Notamacropus eugenii: one gene and its partner. The protein of the gene in region 1 binds, or shares a complex with, the protein of each later gene. Links are inferred from orthologs where the notes say so. Each region holds a gene or a part of one and is shown on either strand. Other genes may lie near its edges.

Region 1 (3,907 bases):
TCTCCTCCTTGCTCCTCCAATCTCTTTCTCTTTCTCTTCCTCATCTGAACTCTGTTTTTCCTTGGAGGACTCTGAGGAAAGAAAAGAATGATCAGAATGAAGAGATTTCCCCACTTCATTCAGAGACAGACTGAACCCTAAGCCAGGAAGATTCCTAGATATCTACCACCCCCCTGAAATCCCAAGGCAGGAGAATGAATTATAGGGAAAGAGGTATTTCTAAGTCTTACCATGTTGGCCATGCTCATGTCCATGTCCATGTCCGTGTCCGTGTCCATGTCCATGTCCTCCCTTCACATGTGTCACAAATTTCTCCACCACAAGAAAGGCAACAATTCCACCGAGAACCCAGAGCCCAACAGAGAGAATGGGGCCCTGGTCTGAGGGCAGGGAGACAGAAGGATGCTAAGACAGAAAAATAGTCCCCTGATTCCCCCACATCCTCTGGCATAATGTTGGGGAAAGTGGGGGAGATAGTCAAATACCCTCCCCCCTACCTCAGGCCCAGACTTTGCCCATTCCTCCCTCCCATTCCCTCCTCACGGCTATGAGAGTGTCCATGTCCTGGCCTTTCTTCAAGTTGAGGTTCCATATCCCCATGATGAGAATGAGGTTCTGAGGAAAGAAGGTCAGAAATATCAAGCATGTGACATAAACATCACAGCCAATAGGGACTCTCAAAGTGTGAGGCAAAGTAAGATTGAAAGGCAATGAAGGTTAGAGATCACTCACCCAGGGCATGAGGTATCAGATGCAGGAAGGCATCTCCCAGAAGTCCCCCTGAGGCAAAGCTGAGAAGGATCTGCAGGAGTGAGCGGTGCTGAGGGGAATTGGATTCCACAGGCACAAGAAATAGGATGAAAAATGGAGCCGCTGAGATTAGCACTGTTGCCCCCAGAGCCTAATAAGTTTGCGATTAAGGAAATAAGTCATGGGTGTGAGTTAATTACTATACAAGGGTAAGATCCCACACCCCACAACCCCTTCTACTATCCCCATTATTCTCTGAGAACTCACATATGCCCAAAGACTGACAGTGTCCAAGTCCTGCCCACTGCCTAGAACCTCAGAATCCCCAATGCCTTTAGACCTTTGTCCATATTCATGAGCATGGCTGTGTCCATGGTCATGAGTGTGACTTCTGTGTCCATTTCCTTCATGTGACTGTCTATTGTGCAAGGGGTCAGACTCATAATAAAAGCTCTCATGTGTGTGGCCATGGTGTCCTGGTGCATGGCTGTGACCATGATGGAAATCATCATGCAAATGTCCATGGCCATGATGCTGGAAATCTTCATGGGAGTGCCCATGGCCAGGATGATGGAAATCCTCGTGGGAGTGCCCATGGCCAGGATGATGGAAATCCTCGTGGGAGTGCCCATGGCCAGGATGATGGAAATCCTCATGCGAGTGCCCATGGTCATGATGGTGGAAATCCTTGTGTGAATGGCCATGGCCAGGATGGTGGAAATCTTCATGCATATCTTCATGCAGGTCTGCGTGGACCCCAAGTCCAGACACCAGCAGCTCTAAGGCAACCCAAGTCACCAACCCCACAGCTGCCCAGCATCTGGCCCCTGGGGCTCCGTGAGCCATGGCGATTATCTAGAAAGAAAAGAGACAGTGACCCTTCTGGGTCCATCCAAGGGGTCTACTTCCCAGTATGGTTGCTTTCCTATTCTCCCAAACCATGGTCTGTAGTCTTTCAGTCTCCTTCCCACCTGCACCCACCTCCTGCCCCCTCCCCAATCCCTGGTCCCCGGGAAAGTCTTGCTAGTTTTCGGGAATTCCGGTTTAGTGTTCCCTCTAAGCCACCGTCTCTACGGTACCCGAAGAGGATAAAGAAACTTTGAATGCAAAAGGAGGCTAAAGTCTCACCGGCGCCGGGGTTTTCTCGCTCCCGGTTCACACGGACGGACGTGGCACTCCCGCGTTCCCCGCTCCCGCGAGAAGAGGAAGTCCCACCCTTTCTCCGCCCCTTTCTTTACCCGGACAGCGGCTCTCTCGGCGGCAGCTACGGGGAAATTTATCCCTTGATACGCATGCGTGTACGGAGGAAGTGGGCCACCCGGAAAGAACGGAACGGGCTCCTCCATCTTGGTGAAGGGCGGAAGCTAACTCAAGGGCTTCCTGTCCTTACCTAGATGTCTGCCACCATGGTGCTGCCATCTTAGAGTAGGGCAAAGTGAAGTACCTTGTTCCGCCAGCTCTGGCGCCCTATTCCAAGACCCTGGCAGTATCCTGCCCTTCTCTCCCGACCCCAGAGTTCTGTAGGTATCCTCCCCCAAGTCCTTCCACACCTCCTTCTGGGGACCATACCGTTGGTTGCTTTGCCCTCCCTCACGGATCCTTCTCTAACCCCCATGCCGCGGGGCAGTGTGGGCCTGTGGGGGAGCGTGGCGCGAAGCATTGTGGGGCCGGGACCCGGTGGTGGCGGCGGCGGGTGGAGGTGGCGGCCGGAGAACAACAAGCCCCGGAGCCGGAGCCGGGGGGAGCGGGACGGGACGGGATGGGCGACAGCGGGCGGGGTGAGTGGTCGGCAGGGTAGGGCCAGGGCGGGCGGGCGAGCGACGGTGTTATCTGCATGTCTTCTTCCCCTTTTACATACACCCACGGGTGTCTTTGCCTACCGTCTCCCCTCCCCCTTCCCTGCCGAACGCCCAGTTTATGGGTAATCCAAACGCTGGGAGGGTCTCGCTCCCCGTGAAATCTAGAGTCTGGAGTGGGACGAGGGAGCGTGGACAGCACTCTGCTGGACTCGGGAGGGATTGGAGAGGAGGAGGGCTGGGGGCGGAGCACGTGTCAGGGAGGGGTCAGCATCTTCCAATCTGCCCCTCTGGGCGACCCTGACCTCGGAGCTTGGGCTGGGGTTGCTGTGTAGGGGGGTGGTTCGTGAACGGCACTTGTGTTCCCACCCACACTGGGACGAACCAGGCTCCGGACCGAGACCAGCTAGGCTAGGCTCCGGGCCACCCCAGCCAAGTTCAGATCTCAATGGCACGGTCACCCTTCTGTCACTCGTAGACCTTCTGCCGCTGTCCCACGCCTCCAACTCAGTTCTAGGGAAAAGATCCGAGTTCGAATGCTAGCTTCAACCCTTACCAGCTGGGGGTCCTTGAACAAGTCACTTTTCCTTTCTGGGCCTCCGTTTCCTCATATGTAATGCGAGAGGGTCTCTAACATTCCATTAAGTTGGGTCCCAAATCTTTTTCCAGTTCAAGAAGAATAGGAGTTTCTCATTTTACTCCTGCTCTCCCCTTTCCCCACCCCCCAAATCCAAAGCACTCTGCAACTTCCTAACCAAAAGGAGTGCCTTCTTCCTGGCCTGGGGCTGGTTTGGGCAAACCAAAAAAATGATTAAAGGCAAATAAAAGTGTCTTCACTTGAGTTGGAGAAAGTTTAAAGTCTCCTTTTATCTTGTAACCCCAGTGCCTACAACAGGGACTTGCACATACTAGGCTCTAAATAAATGTTTGTTGAATTTGAATTGGAGTAGTTGACCTGCTGAAGACTGATTATCTCTCTCTCTCTTTTTTTTTTGTCTCTCTATATCTTTGTCTTTGTTTCTGTCTCTTCTCTCTTCCCATCCCAGACTGTAGAAGCCCAGACAGCTCCTCCCTGAGCTCATCCCCACAACCCCCTCCCCGGGGGGGCCCTCCCCCTTCTCCTCCTGGGCCCCCCCTGGCTCCCCTACCCTCTGCAACTTCATCCCTCTTAGGAACAGGGGGCCCACCCCAACTCCCACTTGGCTCCCCCTTTCCTGTCATCAGCTCCTCCATGGGGTCGCCTGGGCTGCCTCCCCCAGCCCCTCCTGGACCCTATGGCCCTGTCAGCAGTCCCCAGGTGAGCTGTTGTGATCCCATGATCCTCTTGAACTATAGATGACCCTTGACCCTGGTTTGAATTT
Region 2 (3,907 bases), on another chromosome or scaffold:
CTCTGGAAGGGTTCTAAGGGCTCTTTTTAAAATAGGTGCAATGTTAACTTCTCCCCACCATATAGGCAAATCTTAAAGACTTCAGTTCCATTCACCAGTCGGTGTCAGCCAGTAAGAGGTCATACTGAACACAAATCTGAAAAACGCACTTGAGAGTTCTTTTAAGAGGCCTCATTTCCATAACTTCGCCTTTCTCCCTCTCACAATGCCTCTGGCGAACACGTATACTGAAGTTTAAACGAGTTCTCATTTTTCCAGAGGAGACTGCATTGTCTCAAGCCCTTTACACGTATTTCAGAACACACACGGTCCGAAAGCGTTCCCAGAGTAAGTGCTGCGTTCTGTGGCTCACGCTGGACTGCTGAAGTTTCTTGAAACCCCGCAGTCTTCAGCCCCTCAGGAATCACACCCCAAACCACACTACGGGAATACGACAAGGACAGCGGCCTGGACAGGGGAGGCTCCAGCGCCCCGGCCCTTAGTTCCAATCTTACAACCTGAGAGGGGAGGCCGCGCTTGGGAATACCTGGGTCCCCAAAGTGAACGGGGGGCGAAGCCCTCACAGTAAACATACCACCTACTCCCTCCTTCCAGCCTCGGAACCACAGAGGGGGGAAGGGACGGCAGCGCGGGCAGTGCTGGGCTGAGTGGGAGTGGGGCAGGGCGGAGGGGGGCCAAGCCGAGATAAGGACGAGAGGAGAGGGGGTGGCAGAAGGGAAGAAAAGGCCATTTTTCTTCTGCGCAGGCCAACGTCTCCAGCCAGCCAAACACCCACTTTCTTCCTTAACAAAAGGTCCCCTCCCAGCAGGGGGCCTGGGGCTAGTACTGAGGGTTTGGGTCCGGGCATTAAGAGTTTGGGGAGGGGGAGGGGTCTGTGTGTACCTACGTGTACGGAGGGCGCCGCAAGTGGGGGACGTCCGAGTTAGGGGGGGACAGAGAGGGTGTGTGTCTGCGTGTGCGCGAGGAGGGAAATGGGGGGGCCGATCCGAATTTTGGGAAGGGGAGCAGTGTGTGTGCACAGGAGGGTGCTGCCAGGGGTCCAAGTTTTGGGGGGATGGGAGGATAACCGCTCCGAGGAAGGGCGGGGGAAGGCGGCCGGTATCCCGTGGGAAGTCTGGAGTCGGCTCGTCAAACTTTCTGGGGAGGGGGAGAGCGGCGGCGGGGGCAGGGCCCGCCCCTTCCTCGGTCCGGCGGCGGGGGGCGGGGTTGAACTTGACCGGGTGCCCCCACCCCCGGCCCTCACAATGGCTGCGCCCCCTCCCCTCCCTCCCCCGGTCCCCTCCCCCGGTTCCCGCCCGGGCACACGCACCACCCCCCCCGACAGCCGCCCGGGGGTCGCGGGGCGCCCCTCCCCACCTGGTGGTTGTCCTTCCGGCCGCCCGCGGCGCCTGGCTCTCCGGGGCCGCCGCTCATCATGTTCATGTAGAGGGAGCGGGCGAGGGGACTCCGCAGGGACCGGCCGGTGCCCGTCCACATCCTCCTCGCCAGCCACAGCGAGACCAGGGTGAAGCCCAGCCAGCCCAGGAACAGTCTCATGGGGGGCCGCGGGGCGGCGGGGTCGGGGTAGCTCCGCGGCTCAGCCCCGCCGGGAAGGAGGCGAGAAGGAGGCGCCGCCGCCGCTGCTGCTGCTGCTGCCGCTGCCGCCGTCGCTGTCGCTGCCCCCGCCGCCGCTGCCGCCCGCCGCGGCCACTCTCTCCATCGCGCCCAACTTACCCATCCAGCCCCTCCGAGGCTCCGGCGGGGGGTGGGGAGAAGCGGCCGGCGAACACCCCAGCCCGCCTCTCCCTCCCCTTCTTCTCCCCTCCCCTCAGTCCTCCCCCACACCCCTGCCCCTCTTCCTTCTTTCGGCGGAACGCCGTTTCCGGCAGTGGCGGTTTCCGCCCGGAGCGCGTTTCTAGGGGCACACCGTGGCTCCCCAGTCGTGGTTACTGGATTCGTTTGGTCTCCGGCTCGAAGCCGGACGCGGACGCAGTGCGCGCACCGGAAGCGCCTCCTCAACCAATCAGCTCGCGCGGGCTCGCGCACGGAGGCCGCGGGAGCGCGCTTGCTTGCCCAGCGGGGCCCCTCTTAGCCCCACGCTAAACCCTTTCGGGCCCATTGTGTAGTGGCTGCGGAGGAAGGAAAGGCAGGCGCACGGCCCGGCACAGTGGGCCCTAGCGGGCGTTAGGCGCGCTGTCGGCTCCCGAAGGCACGGTAGTACTCAAGCCCTTTTCACTTCTTCCTCTGCCCCTCAGAAACCGGGGCAGGGGCCGGGGCGGACCGCCCCCACTTCCGCCTGCGCGGCCCATGCCGGCCGGGGCTTTAGGCGGGGGTCTGTCCCGCGGACAGCGCTGTCCAACTTGCCCTTTTCTCGTTCATCTGTCCTAGGGGTAGTCGCCTGCTTCCACTCTTTGCTCCTTGGTCTTCGCAGGCAGGTGCCAGACAAACCAAAGCTTTCACCCTCTCCCCTCGCAGAGCTCCCTGAGGTTGGCACTGGGGTCTAGGGTTGGCACAAGGGGCGACCGCCCTCACCCGTCTCTTCCACCGCGTTTCAAGGAGGCTGCCTAGGGCTTGCGAACGATGGCTTCTCCCCGCTTAAAGCCTGAGGGTGCCCTCCAAACTGGGGAACCTCAGGCTGGGTGTTGGAACCCGCCGGGACACTTGAGGGTAAAGACAGGAAGCCGCTTGTCACTTGAACCTACAGACCGTCTTGTGTGCGTGAAAGGGTCCACATCCTTCTTTAATTGTTGTTATTTCCCCAAAGAATCATAAGGTGTTTCTCTCTTTAAGGTCGTCAACCCACCTGTTATAAGTCAGTTGGGAAGGTAGGTAAACCAGCAGATCGAACATCGAGTCTGGAGTCAGGAGGTCTTATCTTACTGAGTTCAGATTTAGCCTCAGACAGTAGCCGTGCAACCCTTAAATCTGCTTGCCTCAGTTTCCCCATCTGTAAAATGAGCTAGAGTAGGAAATGGCAAACCACTGCAGTGTGGGTCATGAAGAGTCAGAAACGACTGAACTGAAAGTGTGTTAGTCACTGTGCTAAGCCAAGGCAAAACAAAAGCACTTTTAAAAGTCCCTGACCTTAAGGAGCTGGTAGTCAGATGGGGTGAAAGGTATTATATAGAAGATCATTTTAGAAGGCACTAGCATTAAATCACTAGTAAAAAGTTCTCTCCACAATAGAGTATCTCTACAATACTACTAAAACCTTTTAAAAACTATTGTTTCAAATAAAAATTTATTTTCCTTTCCTTCCATGTTACCTCCTCTATTGGAGAAAAAAGAAGAAAAAGAAAAACTAAGTCCTTGTGAAAAATACAGGCAAAATGTTCTTGCATTGGCCATGTCCGAAAACATGTCTCATTTTGCCCCTTGATTCCATTATCTTGCTGTGAGCAAGGTATCCCAATTTTAGTAAAGTCTGAAATTTTTCTTTAATAAGAATTCCTTTCCAGGGTTTTTAAAGACCCTATTTGATATTTTGTTATTGTTCAAGTGACCTCTTGGACTTGTCCATGGAGTTTTCCTGGCAAAGATATTAGAGTGGTTTGCCATTTCCTTTTCGAGTGTCTTCCCATTTGGCAGGTGAGAAACTCAGGCAAATAGGGCTTAAGTAACTTACTGAACATCTGTACACAGCTAGTAAATGCCAGATTTGAACTCAGAAAGATGAATCTTCCTGACTTCAGGCCAGGTGCTCTATCCGTTGGGACACCTAACTGCCCTAAAAATTAATATTTAGTTTTAGTTAAAAATACATTTAATCTTAGCTAAAAGTAAATGTAATAGAAGGTCAAGATGTTGGAGGAAAAGGAAGTAGTGAAGCTTAGCTCTCTCTTACAATTATAGGACTTGACGGAATTGGATCGCCTAGAGAGGGGGTCCACTACACTATGAAGTGAAGGGCTTCAGCACATCTATGGAA

The links.
Region 2: the proteins of SLC39A7 (region 1) and METTL9 are in contact, whole or in part, in a crystal structure (PDB 8GZE), measured with the Homo sapiens proteins. The link is inferred for Notamacropus eugenii from reciprocal best matches to the Homo sapiens genes SLC39A7 and METTL9. Residues at the interface, in NP_001070984.1 of Homo sapiens: Gly65, His66, Thr67, His68, Glu69; in NP_057109.3 of Homo sapiens: Arg114, Thr115, Asn118, Arg123, Gly124, Met126, Met179, Asn210, Asp213, Arg214, Val241, His245, Tyr247, Glu249, Trp255, Tyr295, Leu296, Cys297, Glu298, Asp300, Tyr306, Val307, Leu308.

The regions. Positions count from the first base shown.
Region 1 is NC_092873.1:89,187,433-89,191,339, reverse strand, and holds the start of SLC39A7 (zinc transporter SLC39A7), read right to left. Parts: upstream 2,381-3,907; 5' UTR 2,320-2,380; intron 2,271-2,319; exon of another isoform or gene 2,216-2,270; intron 2,015-2,215; 5' UTR 1,879-2,014; intron 1,606-1,878; 5' UTR 1,597-1,605; coding exon 1,018-1,596; intron 902-1,017; coding exon 733-901; intron 616-732; coding exon 544-615; intron 381-543; coding exon 231-380; intron 72-230; coding exon 1-71. Other genes in the region: RXRB (retinoic acid receptor RXR-beta), read left to right, coding at 2,510-2,528, 3,593-3,843. UniProt on the Homo sapiens protein: Transports Zn(2+) from the endoplasmic reticulum (ER)/Golgi apparatus to the cytosol, playing an essential role in the regulation of cytosolic zinc levels.
Region 2 is NC_092874.1:396,486,338-396,490,244, forward strand, and holds the start of METTL9 (protein-L-histidine N-pros-methyltransferase), read right to left. Parts: upstream 2,374-3,907; 5' UTR 1,537-2,373; coding exon 1,357-1,536; intron 1,123-1,356; exon of another isoform or gene 887-1,122; intron 160-886; exon of another isoform or gene 92-159; coding exon of another isoform or gene 59-91; intron 1-58. UniProt on the Homo sapiens protein: Protein-histidine N-methyltransferase that specifically catalyzes 1-methylhistidine (pros-methylhistidine) methylation of target proteins.